Linked DNA regions of Neurospora crassa OR74A. The protein of the gene in region 1 purifies or fractionates together with the protein of each later gene. This does not show direct contact. Links are inferred from orthologs where the notes say so. Each region holds a gene or a part of one and is shown in the gene's direction. Other genes may lie near its edges.

Evidence for each region. The genes of interacting proteins can lie anywhere in the genome.
Region 2: the proteins of pex14 (region 1) and pex10 purify together in Saccharomyces cerevisiae (affinity purification with mass spectrometry; 4 studies listed by BioGRID, with this or other methods). This does not show direct contact. The link is inferred for Neurospora crassa OR74A from reciprocal best matches to the Saccharomyces cerevisiae genes PEX14 and PEX10.

The regions. Positions count from the first base shown.
Region 1 is NC_026506.1:2,097,981-2,102,010, forward strand, and holds pex14 (peroxisomal membrane anchor protein), read left to right. Parts: upstream 1-1,489; 5' UTR 1,490-1,903; coding exon 1,904-1,943; intron 1,944-2,023; coding exon 2,024-2,349; intron 2,350-2,405; coding exon 2,406-3,143; 3' UTR 3,144-3,505; downstream 3,506-4,030. Other genes in the region: NCU03899 (HEC/Ndc80p family protein), read right to left, coding at 1-727, 831-881. UniProt on the Saccharomyces cerevisiae protein: Component of the PEX13-PEX14 docking complex, a translocon channel that specifically mediates the import of peroxisomal cargo proteins bound to PEX5 or PEX21 receptors.
Region 2 is NC_026501.1:5,159,005-5,162,905, reverse strand, and holds pex10 (RING-1), read left to right. Parts: upstream 1-1,383; 5' UTR 1,384-1,656; coding exon 1,657-2,946; 3' UTR 2,947-3,280; downstream 3,281-3,901. Other genes in the region: NCU03278 (protein-ER retention protein), read right to left, coding at 1-800, 879-969; bem46 family protein, read right to left, coding at 3,635-3,800. UniProt on the Saccharomyces cerevisiae protein: E3 ubiquitin-protein ligase component of a retrotranslocation channel required for peroxisome organization by mediating export of the PEX5 receptor from peroxisomes to the cytosol, thereby promoting PEX5 recycling.

The DNA.
Region 1 (4,030 bases):
AGTGCAGTAATCCCAAGAAGGTGCTCCAATTCTGACCTCCGACCGCGGCGATTTGGCTCTTGGTGATGCTCTTCTCGTATGGGTATCGCAGTTGTTTGAGTAATGGTGGTACCTCCTGGTCGATATTCTTCTGAAACCGGTAACTCGGGTCTATCCTGTGGTAAAGCCATTGAAACAAGTAGTTGAAGTCCTTCTGTGTCGGCGACTTTGTGAAGTTGTCGGACAGCTTGTGGTTCATCTCCATCTCGAAATTGTTCTTGGCGAGGTACTCGAGCAACTCCTGGCCAATGCGATTTTGGAATTGACGGTCTTTGAGGGGGCGCGGATCGCGAGGCACGCCGGCGGGCTGGGGCGCTTGCTGGAAGAAGCTCATATGCCCACCAGCTAAGGGACCTCCGCCGACGGCCGACGGTCGTGCGCTTGGGCGGTAGACGCTGCTTCGCCGGTCGAGTTCTTGCGATGATCGAGGAATACCGGAACTGCCTGGGGTGCCATAGGGCTTGAACTGCGACGTGTTCATGTTATGAACCGACGCGCGCTTTACCGAGCCCAGGCCAATGTCGGAGGATCGCTGGAACAGAGGTTGGCTCGGTCGCGGGAGGGCCAGAGATTGCCTCCCCGACAGAGAGCGACCATGGCCCGTTCCTATTGTGCCGATGGTGCTTTGTCGCTTAAGTGTGGAGGGTGGTGCCGGAATGCCCGACGTGAGGTTGACGCCATGGAGAGTCTACAGAGAGAGCAGAGTCAATATCGTGCATGGTCGCGTCGGATGGGGAGAGGTTTCGACCGAGGAAACACGCCGCAAAGAAAGTCACGGGGGGAAGTCGCACCTCCCTTGGCCGTCGAACACTCCAAAGGCCTGCGTTGCTGTCTTGCGACATGACGGCAAAGGCCTCGTCAATGTGCGCCTCCCTTTTGCCGTCCTAGTCGCGTGGTTTCCGTGATAATATATAAGCAAGCGAACAAAAGAGTGTTACACTACGTGCAACTGTGTCGGATCGATGTCGGCGATGATTCTCTTGGTGGTGATTATGTCGGATAGCTTTGTAGAGCTAAGGTATGCGCTCGAGTTAATGTGGGTACGTGTTCGCGGCTCTGACAGAAATCAATGCATAACCGCAGTCGCGGATTTCGTCGTGTCGTAGCGATAAAAGTACGTGTACGGCCAGCAACCTAATGCAGGCCAGCATAGGTATGTAGGTAGATTAAGACACCGTAGTGTAGACGGGACTAGGTTGTCGACTTCTGCGGATGGTGGGGGAGGTTGCTCCGTCAGGAAGAGTAAACAAAAGAAAGGCGACGTGGGTGGGGCTGTGGAAATCATTGGGCTGAACAGTGCCAAGTGCACTCCAGTTCTCGTCCCCAAGCATCGGGACGGCAGGTGAATGACGGGAGTGGGTCCAAAAGCGACCTTGAGGGTGAGTGTTGGCTCGCTTCAGGTCAGTGCTTTTTCAGCTCTGCACTCCCGTCTCTGAGCCAGTCACTGCATGGAATGGATGCTCAGCTGCGCTCTAGGCCTGTCGGAGGAAAAGGAGAGTCAGGGGAGGAGATAGTGATTTATCTGATCAGCATGCCTCCACGAGTGTGCTGGGGGTGCAAGTGATGCGAAGCTGTTAAGGTGCTATTAGCAGTCCACGTCTAGTGTACAATCAGGCCCCCGGTCCCGTGAACCTCGGCTTCAGGACTCCATCCAGCGGCCCAGCCATCCCCCGAACCGCTGCCAGTCAGTTCGTTTCCACTTCATCTATCGCATTCAGCCTCCCGTCCTTCGATAATCATTCCATCAACCGCCGCCGTCTGCCATCGCGTCGCGACTGTTTCAGCTGTCTGCTTCTTTCCTCTCGTCTGCCCAGTCTCAACAAGGGAACGCCATCTGCCGCATTTCGATCAAACAACATCAGTCATGGCCATCCGCGAGGACCTGGTCGCTTCGGCGGCGCAGTGTATGTTCTGCCCCTGTCTTGTCCCCTGCTACCTCCTCTACATTGCCAGGCCAGAATCTCACCCGACAACAACACCACAGTTCTTCAAGACCCCAGTGTCGCCGCCTCGCCAATCGAGAAGCGGATAGCCTTTCTCCAAGCAAAGAACCTCACCCAGGAAGAAGTCAGCGCTGCTCTCGCCCGCGCCGAATCAGGAGGTCCACCGCCACCGTACGCCCAGTCGCCCGCCTATGCGCAGTCGGCCGGACCCGTCGCAGCACAGGGTGGCTCTCCGCAGTACTATGGCTATCCCCCATACGCATGGCCGCAATCGAATACCGACGGTGTCAGGCGGGACTGGAGGGACCTGTTCATTTTGGCGACCGTAGTCGGAGGCGCGTCGTACGGCCTATACAATCTCGGCAAGGTAGGCCGCCGAACACCGTGCAATGTACATAAAAGGAAATTCTAACCGTTCGGCAGCGCTATGTGTATCCTTTGATTGCTCCTCCCACGCCGGAGCGTCTCGAGCAGGACAAGAAGTCCATCGACGAACAATTCGACAAAACATTCCAACTGGTTGAGCAGCTGGCCAAGGATACCGAAATCCTCAAGGCCTCGGAGCAGGAAAGGACAGAGAGACTCGACAATGCCCTCGAGGAGCTGGAGACTGTCGTCAGGGACCTCAAGGCAGCCAACAGACGCAGAGACGACGAAGCACAGAGAGTACGGGACGATGTGCAAAATCTCAGGGACTCGATTCCAAGGGCACTCAACAACCAGAAGGACTTGACCGACAACAGGCTGCGCGAACTCAATACCGAACTCAAGAGCCTCAAGACCCTCATCTCGCAACGCATGAACCCAACCGCCACCTCGACGAGCGTCAACAACTACCTTCGCCCCAATACTAACGGAAACGCCACTCCTTCTTCAGCCCCTGCCACGCCAGCCCTCGGCGGTGAGAACGGAGACTTAAACAGCAGAGCCGCGAGTGCGCAGGATGAGCAATCCAGATACCAGCAGGAACAGCAGTTCGCTCAACCTGCTGCCCCCAAGCCTTCGCCTTTCAGCAGCGGAATTGCCTCTGCAGGCAAGCCGACTATCCCTGCTTGGCAGTTGGCCATGGCCAACAAAACCGCGTCGGCTTCGACTGTCGGAGTCACGAACGGTACTACAAACGATGGCTCAAGCAGCAACGGAGGCGACGAAGCCGCTTAAAAAGCTGTTCTCCAGTCAGGCACAAAGATAAAATAGCACCGGAACTGGGAAACCTGGATACATTAATCGGCATGAGCATAAGGCCAAAGTGAGCGACTCCCTCTGGTTTTCTGTATAGTAATAAAGCTCCTGTACGTTGTTCAAGCAGGACAATACACAGGAGCACTTGTGAAGCATGGGACAACCTCATTCAGTCCCCTTTCCATGATAGCGCGTTTGTATTTCTGCAAGGTCTTTAAGCGCGGACGTTGCATGGCATTTTCCTAGAGCATGATATCAAAAGCTACCATTTTCACATCTTATAAGGTTAGGCCGTGAATTGATCTGAGACATCCCGTACACCTGACCGCCCAGTATTTCTGCCTCACTATTTTGACCGCTGCTATGGCATTGCCGAGACAAATTTTTGGTTATTGTCCTCAGCCACCCAAAAAAACTGGAGGGGAGGGGCAAAAAAAAAAAAAAGCCATGATCGAATAGAGATGCGCAAACGGTCAAAGAGGGACAACTGGCTTTGGTTATGTCGCCCTCTATTCAGGACTTTCAGCCACATCGGTACAGTCAGAACACCGCGGCCTCTGTAGAGAACTAAAGGATACATTGTAGTGTAGGTATTGATGTCGCTGCCAAATCATTACCTCAGCGTAGCATATGCGTACCCGAGAGGTCGGATGCGGAATATTCTCTGTTAAGACATCCCGGGTTCAAGGTACATACACCTTCGTGCCATGGTTCAGTTTCCAATCGCATCTAATAGTCCTCGTAGCTATTACTTGATCGGGCAATGCTTGCTTGGAACCAAACATTGACCCCACCCATCATCCCTTTCTTCCTGTGCCAATGTTCTCATAGCGCCTTCGTCTCGCCCAAACCCGAAGGGGATATTG
Region 2 (3,901 bases), on another chromosome or scaffold:
GAGATCCCAATCCTTGGCAACGTCCCAGTAAAAGCTGTAGAGTGAGTTGAGCAGACACGCAACAATCCATGCACGGTACAGGCTCGTAGTTGGGGTACCGCTGGTGTTTGCGTTACGCAACATGGCGTTTAGAATGATAACAGGAAACGCGGTCGAGTACTTGGCCGCGTTGGCGAGATGTTGTCCACCCCAGCCCGTGGACTCCTTGAAAGGGGAATTTCGCACGCGCAGATATTCGATAAGACACTGGCGCAGCCGAATAGCGCTTGGTATCGTCAGGAGAAGTGGTACGAGATAGGTGCCGCCGCAGCTGCGATCGGGTCGGTCAGTAGCAGACCCATTCCGCGTGAAGAACATGCAGAGACATATGAACAGGTCCCCAAGGACCTTGGCGTAGCTGGTGAGAACATCAGCCAGCAAGATATCCCCAAACTTTCCATCCTTGGCCTCAGCCAAACCTCCCACACTGACGCGGCGCAGAGTTGCGAGTAGTCGACGTCGACCGGAGTGCGAAACAGACAGTCTTCGCAGGGGTAGCACGAAGAGGGCTGCGGTCACTGCCAAGTTGGTCATGGGAATCCAGTCATAGTCGATAACGCGTTTTGGATCGCGCCTGGTAAACGACCAAAATGTGAGAATCGAAACAGCGGAGCTTAGCGAAAGAAGAGTCGCAAGACGGTATGTCGAGTGGTGGTGAGGGAGCTGGGTTGGGCTCGATCTTCCTGGGTACCGGATTAAGGAGGGGACGTCGATCTTGCGATTATGGAGGAAGTGAAGGTTGAGGCCCCAGCCCCAAACAGCTAATCAACCAGAGATAGTCAGTTTACAACCGTGTATCCAGAGAGCAAACATACGGTAGGAAACTTGTATATACATACCTATGATCACGATGAAGGCAACCCGGTAGGGAAGGGGAAAGGTCAAGCTGAAGGAGTCGAGCTCCGGCTCAACCACGGGATCACCGTCCATTGCGCCAGGCAGCGGTCAATTTGCTGTCCGTCATGGAATGCGGAGAGGGAGAAGTAACAGTTGGACGCAAAGAAGAGTTGATAGGCTTGGGATCAAATTCCCAGCAGTAACGCGTTTGGAGTTTGTCAAGTGTCAAGATGGAAATTTTAATTTCATCTGTATTGTGGTAGCTGTCGCAAAGACACCGGAGTTGCCAAGCCCCTGTCGCGTGCACTCTTTTTGGCTTAGGGAGAAGACCCGACGTCAGTGCAACCCCTGGTCGCGGCCCCGTCCTGTGACAACCCGCTGCATCATCCCTGCCGCTAAAGCCTGGGCTACGACGTTCTGGGCACCCCCCTGCCAATTCCTCAGCTCGCTCCTTGTGAGGAGGAACCACGCCTGGGGCGGCGCCGGGCGTGCTGCCCCCATTAACCCCAAGGACCGAGGTCCATCCGTTCCCGACTACCACTTTCATCTCAGCTTCAACTGCCGCCTGTCGATCTCGAAACATCAAACAACAACTCGGATAATTTCAGATCGAAAAGACTTAATCATCCACTGCCACAGCTTCGACGATTCGACTGTAGGCATACGAGCTCTCCTAGGGTTCGAGAGTTCCCCCTGAATACGTCGACCGTGTAAACACAGCTTTTGACCCCCCCGACTTCGAGCCCACCCGACCCGACCCAAACGACGACATCAATTACCATGTCATTGACGGCCACCAAGAAGCCTCCTCCGCCGCTCACGAGCTCGCCATATCCATTCGCTGCAGCCCCCGACATTATCCGCGCGCATCAAAAAGATGCCTATTTCCAGGGCGTCCTCACTAACCAGCTGACCGACCTTCACCGGCGCGTTCGCGGTGCCCGCTCCGCCCACTCCTGGGCCACCGAAACCCGTACGGCTGCCGACCTGCTCTACCTATGCCTCACCACCCTCCTCGGCAACCGCACCTTAGGCGAGGAGTACTGCGACCTAGTCCAAGTCGAAGAGCCGAGTACGGGCGGCAACGGCAGGATACCAGACACCCAAAGCCCCGTCGAGCCCAGCAGCGAAGCCGGTGGCCCCCGTCTGCCCTCGCTCCAGCGACGAGCCGGCTACATCGTTAGTAGCGTTCTTGTCCCCTACCTTTTCAGCCGCCTGCTGCCCTCCATCCGCGCCGCGCTCCGCAAGCGCCTCCAGGACCGTCTCACCGTGCTTGCCCGCCAGGGCCGCGGCGACACCAAGGGCGCCACCCCATCTACCTCCAACAACAAGGGCGGTGGTTTCTCCACAGTGTCAACGCTTGAGTACCGCGTGAAGCGCTACCTGCTCACACACCTGACTTCCATCACCAGCGGCGCGCACCTGCACGCCTTGACGCTGGCCGTATTCTACTTTTCGGGTGCTTACTACTCTTTCTCCAAGCGCCTCTTCGGGCTGCGTTATGTGTTCACGCGGCGCATCGAGGAGGGTCAAGGCGGTCGCGCGGGCTATGAAGTGCTCGGCGTGCTGCTGGTGGTGCAGATGCTCGTCCGGGGATACCTGCATGTGACGGCGCAGCTGTCGTCAACTTCGCCGCTTAGTGCCGAGGAGGCCAGTACCGAGGCGAGCATTCGGGAGCGCGCCTTTGGGCCGGGCGCTGCGGGCACACTGGATGTGTCGTTAGATGAGAATGCCTATAGCAGCAATAACGAGTTGCTGGTGGAGACGGGCAAGTCGGGTAACCAGCGTAGTTTGGCGGAGATTGGACGGACGACGCACACCCCTGTGCCCAAGGGCGGGAGGGCGAACTACGACTTGGCGGCGAATGAGGAGGTCATGGGCTGGATCAAGGGGAGACAGCAGAGGATGTGCACGCTTTGCTTGGAAGAGCTGAAGGACCCGGCGGCGACCCAGTGCGGACATGTCTTCTGCTGGTCGTGTATTGGAGACTGGGTGCGCGAGAAGCCTGAGTGTCCGTTGTGCAGACGTGAGACGATGGTACAGCATATTCTGCCATTGAGGGTTGCTTAGAGCAGTCCTTTTCTGGCGGTCGGGGGGGACAAAATACTTAATATACGGGAGATATGACAAAAAGCAGGAGTCTTACAACGTCCTCTCGAGAACAGATTTTGGGTAGTATTTGCACATGACAAGGAGCGAACAGTCAACAACTGCGGTTTAGGGATAATTGTATATGCAGCAAGCATATTGCCAGGAGAGAGAGCCTGTTTTCGTACATAGCCTAATGATTGAATGATCCGACATATTCTCAAAAGGTCAGGAACTTTTGACAAGCTAATGCACATATGTTCAAGTATGAAATTGAATTATTCCTTGTCCGATATTAATATTTGGTATTTACTCTACAAAAACTTCTCTTGCTTGATTAATATCGAGTCTCGTCCCGTTTGGGTCTTAATCAAGACCCGAGCAACCTCGACATAGGTCCAAAGGGTCATGAAATACATACACGAGGTGCGAAAGAGAAAATATGACACCTCAATGAAAGCCTCAAGTTCCGACCCATCTTCAAGCATCAAGCCACCAAGGTCGTGGTTGTCGTACTTGTGCTTCGCTGTCCCCCAACAGCTCGTAATCGTGGACGCTTTCGCGTCATCAAGATCGTGGGCACATCATATGCCTCCCCTTCAACAGAAAGACCCATTTACCGTATGGAATGAGGAGAGAGCGACGGCGCGGATTTCGTTGTCGAATCGAGCTATTTCTTTTCGGGGTCTCCTGAGGAAACCCTTTGGATGAATTCTGCGATGGCTTCAAAGTAGCCTTCTTCGAGGACACTCGAGTTATGGTCGCCGTTGGGAAGAGGCTTCCAGATCTTTATCGGAGCGTTGGAGAGATGATAAAGCTGCTTCATATGAGTGGGTCTAAGATGCGGGTGATGGAATTAGCGGACAGCTCTCATGCAACCCAACCGGCCACAACCACAGACCGTGGCTCAGAGTACCATATTGTGGAGGCACAATGA